Linked DNA regions of Saccharomyces cerevisiae S288C. The protein of the gene in region 1 purifies or fractionates together with the protein of each later gene. This does not show direct contact. Each region holds a gene or a part of one and is shown on either strand. Other genes may lie near its edges.

Evidence for each region. Proteins that work in one complex are often made in the same cells at the same time.
Region 2: the proteins of FPR4 (region 1) and NOC3 purify together in Saccharomyces cerevisiae (affinity purification with mass spectrometry; 2 studies listed by BioGRID). This does not show direct contact.

What each region holds. Positions count from the first base shown.
Region 1 is NC_001144.5:1,028,698-1,032,453, forward strand, and holds FPR4 (peptidylprolyl isomerase FPR4), read left to right. Parts: upstream 1-2,136; coding exon 2,137-3,315; downstream 3,316-3,756. Other genes in the region: 60S ribosomal protein eL6 RPL6B, read left to right, coding at 157-171, 556-1,071. UniProt on the Saccharomyces cerevisiae protein: PPIase that acts as a histone chaperone. Histone proline isomerase that increases the rate of cis-trans isomerization at 'Pro-17' (H3P16), 'Pro-31' (H3P30) and 'Pro-39 (H3P38) on the histone H3 N-terminal tail.
Region 2 is NC_001144.5:154,331-158,086, reverse strand, and holds NOC3 (Noc3p), read left to right. Parts: upstream 1-1,752; coding exon 1,753-3,744; downstream 3,745-3,756. Other genes in the region: THI73 (Thi73p), read left to right, coding at 1-153; CMS1 (Cms1p), read left to right, coding at 357-1,232. UniProt on the Saccharomyces cerevisiae protein: Required for synthesis of 60S ribosomal subunits and the transport of pre-ribosomes from the nucleoplasm to the cytoplasm. Also required for initiation of DNA replication.

The DNA.
Region 1 (3,756 bases):
CACTGTATAGAGTGTGTGAGTTTCAATTAATGTTGTAGGCGCGAGGCCCTGTAATATGGCAGTTGATCAAAAGTCAATAGATAATTTTCAAGCAAAATCTCATTTAGGTTTGACTACTTTCTTGAACTTGGAAGAGAAGCAAATATATTCAACGAAATGACTGCCCAACAAGTATGTGTAAAGATGAGTAAATTGAAGGATGTGATGGTTATGGAGATGGCACACGTGCCTAGAGGAAAATAGTTACCCAAGAACAAAAGCAGGAAGGGAGCTAACCTTTTAAATATGAACTGGACAAAACTGGACAAAATGAAAATAACGATTTTAGTAAAAATGAAAATATAGCATCAAATGACTGAGAAACATAGTAACAATAACTCATATTATAGCTAATCTGAGTAAACTTCTTCCTACGCTAAGAATTTTTTTGAGGATAGTACCAAACCTTGTGCTGAATCAGCACACGCCATGCCCACCATCAATTGTGCAAGAAAAAAGTAAACGAGTAGTATACTAACTATATATGTGATTTACATCACGATATGTCAATTATAGGCCCCAAAGTGGTATCCTTCCGAAGACGTTGCTGCCCCAAAGAAAACCAGAAAGGCTGTTCGCCCACAAAAGTTGCGTGCCTCTCTAGTTCCAGGCACTGTTTTGATCTTGCTAGCTGGCCGTTTCAGAGGTAAGAGAGTTGTCTACTTGAAACATCTAGAAGACAACACTCTATTGGTCACTGGTCCATTCAAGGTCAATGGTGTTCCATTGAGAAGAGTCAACGCTCGTTATGTCATTGCTACCTCTACCAAAGTCTCCGTGGAAGGTGTCAACGTTGAAAAATTCAACGTTGAATACTTTGCCAAGGAAAAATTGACCAAGAAGGAAAAGAAGGAAGCTAACTTGTTCCCAGAACAACAAACTAAGGAAATCAAGACTGAACGTGTTGAAGATCAAAAGGTTGTTGACAAGGCTTTGTTGGCTGAAATCAAGAAGACCCCATTGTTGAAGCAATATTTGTCCGCTTCTTTCTCTTTGAAGAACGGTGACAAGCCACACCTATTGAAATTCTAAATTGAACTGAAAAAATTATAAATGATTTAAAATAGAATTTCAAAACAAGGAGAATTGATAGAGAATGCGTTGATCTGAAAATACTGTTTGACAATAACGGAAAGGTAAGTGGATATGTAATCTAAGTTTAATCCTCTTCTAATTCATTTTTCCTATCAACATTATCTGTGCTTTTCTATATCCTTCTTTTTGTATCTATAATTTTTTTTTTCTCTTACATAGCAAAATACAAAAAATCATAAATATTAATATCTAAGGGTTCAAGATCAGGTCATCGCCGTTCTGGGCCACTAGGCTATATCTATTCATTTACATTGGAAGCTGCATGGTCTACTCCAACCGCACTGAGGCAAAGTCTCTGTGGAGGAAATGCTGTCCTAGCGAGCCATTGCAATAGGTATAATCAGAGTCGTCCTCCCAATGTGTTAACTTCTCTCAAAACCACCATATAAATTCTGTAACCTGCCAGCGATAATGTTATATATGTAAAAGGTAAACATACAACCCAATTTGTCCATACTAAGTGGATGCTGGGGAAGCAACTACAGTGCAGATGCTAAAGTTTGCTGCGGCAAATAATCTCAACATTTTTGTGATTAAACCTGCCTCAGTGGGGTGTATGATTAGTGCGTTGATATTTAATACACGCGTAAAAGTTAAGTCTGTTGTACGTTTTATTTCGAGTGACGAAAGAACTACGAATAACTTCCTGCATACTGTTGCCTTTTTCTGTATTTACGTATACTTTTATATCAAATAGCTTGGCCAAAAGAAAGTAGCATTGTGTATCAAGTCATAATTCTAATTCTTAGTTTAACTTCAGCAAAAATAATATTCTTCGTCAGACATTCTCATACAATCATTAACCCATATGAACGTTAAATTTCTCAATTTCTTGCCTTCGATGCCCTATGTATATTTTTATCTCAAACCCGAGGCAGTGAAAATTTTAGCTGGTGCATCGAAAAGAGAAGGGCATTGAAAATTTTACAGTGTTAAAAGAAGTGCTTTTCATGTTAGAATGATAAGAAAAAAGAAAAAGACAACAAAATATACGTCTCTACCATGTCTGATATGCTTCCATTGGCTACGTATAGCCTGAATGTTGAACCATACTCCCCAACCCCAGCTCTGAACTTCAAAATTCCGGTTACCATTAGAATCACAATGGCGGCCATCGACCCTGAGCCCTTTGACGATGACAAAAAGCCATCTACTTTAAGAATAATCAAAAGGAATCCTGAACTCACTCGCGGTGAGTACTACAACCAAGATAACAATGACGGCCTCGAAGAGGATGAAAGTGAAAGTGAACAAGAAGCAGATGTACCAAAAAGGAGTGTCAAATCAAAAAAAGGTAAGGCAGTCGAGCAAAGTGAATCAGAAGACTCTGAAGATGAAAACGAAATCGACGATGAATTCGAAGAATGCGTTCTTTTAACCTTATCTCCAAAAGGCCAATATCAACAAGCTTTGGATATTACCATTGCACCAGAGGAAGACGTTCAATTCGTCGTTACCGGTTCATACACTATCTCTCTAACCGGTAACTACGTCAAACATCCATTCGACAATTCTTCAGATTCAGACGAAGATGAAGAAGACTATTACAGTGACGAAGAATCTTCCAATGGAGAAGAAGAAGAAGAAGAAGAAGAAGAGGACGATGAGGAACTAAGTTCCGGTGATGACGATCTTGATGATTTAGTAGATGCTAGTGACATCGAAAGTCGTCTTGATGAATTAGTCAAAAAGGACGAAAAGAAGAAAAACAACAAGAAGGACAGTAAAAGGAAACATGAGGAAGATGAGGAAGAAAGTGCTAAACCTGCCGAGAAAAAACAAACGACCAAGAAAGACAAGAAAGCAGAGAAAGTTAAAGACTCGGAAGAGAGCAAACCAAAGCCAAAGACGAAGCTACTGGAAGGCGGTATTATCATTGAAGACCGCGTCACAGGAAAAGGCCCACATGCCAAAAAGGGTACCAGAGTTGGAATGAGATATGTTGGTAAGTTGAAGAACGGGAAAGTTTTTGACAAGAATACAAAGGGTAAGCCTTTTGTTTTTAAGTTGGGCCAAGGCGAAGTAATTAAAGGATGGGACATCGGTGTTGCTGGTATGGCGGTCGGTGGTGAGCGTAGAATTGTCATTCCTGCTCCATATGCCTACGGTAAACAAGCTTTGCCCGGTATTCCTGCTAACTCTGAATTGACATTTGATGTTAAATTGGTCTCCATGAAATAGGGTCCTTAATGCATACGTATTGATATATGTATCTATAATACTATATACAATTATCTATACTTCCATTACTAATATTATCTTTCAATTTTACATGTTTTTTTCTGCCATAAAAAAGCAATATTTTTTTGCGAGCTATTTAGTGATATAGCCGCCCAGCTACTTGTCGATGCATATATTGGCTGAGAGTACTAATACAATTATCGGAAGACCTCAAAGTAAAATATAGAAGCTTTGAGTAAAAGGAGCTCGAGTTTTAAAAATGACTTCGTAATATGTAAAGTTTATGTCATATATACTTACACGATAAATAGACCATTGATCGTTAGAGACGAGCGCATTGTTTTGTTGAATCCCTTTCAACAGCGCGACAAAAGTTAATCGAGAACAATAAGATGTTGCATTCAAGGGTTAGTCAAACATATCAGAAGGCCGTTTTCTAAA
Region 2 (3,756 bases), 870 kb from region 1:
TGTGTTTGTGTTCCCCTACAATTATACATTGGCTACATTTGCAAGAAGGAGAACGAAAAGCGTGATAAGGAACAAGAAGGTCAAGAAAGGAAGAAGTACCAATTTTTGGACTTGACTGATATCGAAAACAGAAATTTCAGGTACATTTACTAATAATCAACTTTTAATTTACAATATATAATATTTTTAGTCTGTAATATTCAATATTCAAAGACACCCAAACATTCATTGCACTTGGTATTTACCAAAAAATTGAAGAGAAAATTTTTGAGATGACCATGGATGAGGCAATGAAAGTCGAAATTTGATCCCCGCTACTAACTTCTAAACATATCGTCAGGACAATTGAGCTGAAAATGTCTAATCCAGATGATTTAGATGATGGACTCGCCTATGATTTTGATGCCGAACATGAAGTAATTTTTGACGCCAAGGATGGTAGTCCCCCAACCAAAAAGGTACAAAAGAGGTCTATAGAACAAGATGACGATGACGTTGATGATATAGATGGGAAAAAAGAGGAGAGAAATTCAGAAGATGATTCGAATAGACCTATTTCGAAAAGACAGAAAAAGCTACAGAAAAAATCAAAGCTAATTGAGAAAAAGAAAGAGGAAAGCCAGTATATCGTCTCACAACGAAAAGCACTTCCAGCAAGTTCACCAGAAAAAATTATTGAGTACCTAACAACTTTGATACGAGAAAAAAATCCTGACTTGAGTGTTTTAGAATTAGAGGAACTTTACTTCAAAAGAAATGATTTTCTTTCGACAGAAAAATTTGACGCTGAACGCAGATTAAGCAATTTCCCAGCCTTTATTCAAAAATTTTCCGTAGCTCCAAAAAAAATTGTTTTTTCTATGTCTAATATTAGAGTAGCAGACGTTTATCGTAGTCTAAACGGTGGCAAAAATTGCGTCAAATTATTCTCTAAAAGTAAACTAAAGGATGACATAGCCACCGTGGAACGTTTACTTACTGACAGCTCTAAAAAATCAAACAAAAATAAAGATTCACTATATTTTATTGCCACTCCAACAAGAATGCAGAAAATTATAGAAGCTACTGACTTACTTTTCCAAGGTAAGGAAAAGTTAGATATCATTCTTGATGCAAGTTATTTAGATCCTAAGGATAATACTATATTATCATTCGAGAATGCAGCCGTCCTCTGCCAAGTCTTGAAAACCTTTTTGAATAAAAAAAGCTCCGTGAAAATACTGTTATATTAATAATAGCGCTTTTTCACTGAGGTTCTACACATAAGATTACGTTTTTAAATACCAGCCTTAATTTAGTATATTAAATATTTCATTCTAGCATTTGATGGGGTACTTCAAATTATCTTCTTTAAATTGTCCAAAGCCCTTCCAAAAAGTAAAATCAAAGGAGAAACTTCGAGAACGCCTAGGCGCGCAGCAAACTCCATATATAACAATGTATTTTTTCTTTAACTACATAAAACCAATTTATCCTATTTTACTCTTTCCATGGAGTGTATGCTTTTTTGTAGTTACTTAGATTCAGAAATTCAATGTCTTCCCTCATTTTCTTCACCGTAGAGTAGACCATGGGACGTCGTTTTACTTTAGTTTTTGAATTTTTTCAGCGATGCCCGAAAACTGAAAATTTTATCTCATCTCATTCACCTGCCTGCCATATATAGTATTTTCATGGTATAAACTTGGCATTTTATGTCTTCAATCATAAGAGTATAATTCCGGGATAAAAGCTGGAGATATCATAGTAATAATGGCTAAGAGAAATAGATCTCAATTTCGCATTCAGGAAAGGACTGCAAAGAAAAGAAAGCACGAAGATTCCTTGTTAGAAGGCAATGTTTTCCAAAATGCACCGGAAGATATGGATGAAAATACCATATATAGCGCAAAAGGCTCATCCTGGGATGAAGAAGAACAGGATTACGAAATGGTTCCTCGGAAGAATCGGTCTGATACATCAAATCTTGTTGAAGGCCTGCCTATAAAAGTTAACGGTAAAGTTGAAAGAAAATTGCATAAAGCCCAAGAAAAACCAAAGGACGATGATGAGGAAGACGAAGACTCTAATGACTCTTCAGAAGATGATGAGGGACCTAATGAAGAACAAGAAGCAGAGGCAAAGGAGGATGAGCCTGATACGGAGGAAAAAATTCTGCAACTAAAAGAAGACATTGCCGATTTAGTCACTAAAGTTATGGAGGAGCCTGAAGAAAATACTGCTGCGTTGGGGCGTCTATGTAAAATGGTGGAATCTAAAAATCCTAATACTTGTAAGTTTTCCATGTTGGCTTTGGTCCCCGTGTTTAAGAGTATCATACCAGGCTATAGAATTCGACCACTAACTGAAACTGAAAAGAAGGAAAAAGTTTCTAAAGAAGTCTCCAAGCTTAGAAACTTTGAGCAAGCCTTAGTTTATAACTACAAAAATTACGTCGGAAGATTACAGAGTCTTTCAAAAACTCCCAGTAATGCTGCTCCTATACAGGTTTCATTAGGGATTTTGGCCACTCAAGCCGCAAAAGAATTGATTTCAACGGCATCCCATTTCAACTTTAGAACAGACATTTTCACTTTACTGTTGCGTAGAATTTGTAAACCAAGAATTTCAACAGATCCAACTTCCATTCAAATAATCCAGACATTTGAAACTCTATTAAATGAGGACGAAGAGGGCTCAATATCATTCGAGATACTAAGAATTTTCAACAAAATACTAAAGACGAGGAACTTCAACATCGAAGAATCTGTTTTAAATATGTTATTATCGTTAGATGTCTTACATGACTATGACCCTAATACTAAATTGAAAGGTAACGTTAGCGCTCCTAAGCTCAAAAAGAAAGATAGGGTCCATCTTTCTAAGAAGCAAAGAAAAGCTCGAAAAGAGATGCAACAAATTGAGGAAGAAATGCGTAACGCTGAGCAAGCTGTTTCTGCGGAGGAAAGAGAAAGAAACCAATCCGAAATTCTAAAAATCGTTTTCACTATATATTTGAATATCTTGAAAAACAATGCAAAAACACTCATTGGATCGGTTTTGGAAGGTCTAACGAAGTTTGGTAATATGGCCAACTTTGATCTATTAGGGGACTTCCTCGAAGTAATGAAAGAACTTATTAGTGACACTGAATTCGATAACCTTTCCTCTGCTGAGGTCCGTAAGGCTTTGCTTTGTATCGTTAGTGCATTCTCACTTATTTCAAATACACAATATATGAAAGTTAATGTGGATTTGTCCAAATTCGTCGATGGGCTTTACGCGCTATTACCTTATATCTGTCTTGATGCAGACATCGAATTATCTTATAGATCGCTAAGGTTGGCTGACCCACTCAATAACGAAATAATAAAACCATCAGTTAACGTTTCTACCAAAGCAGAACTTCTGCTAAAGGCTCTGGACCATGTATTTTTCCGCTCTAAATCAGGGACTAAAGAAAGGGCTACGGCGTTTACCAAAAGATTGTACATGTGCATCAGCCATACCCCAGAAAAAACAAGTATTGCCATTCTTAAATTTATTGATAAATTAATGAATAGATATCCAGAAATTTCAGGCCTTTACTCTTCCGAGGATAGAATAGGCAACGGTCATTTCATAATGGAAGCCGATAATCCTTCAAGGAGTAACCCAGAGGCAGCAACCTTATGGGATAATGCTCTTCTTGAAAAGCATTATTGTCCTGTAGTTACAAAGGGGCTACGCTCTCTATCATCTAGATCTAAAGAGTGTTCTAAATAGCTAGATCCTATA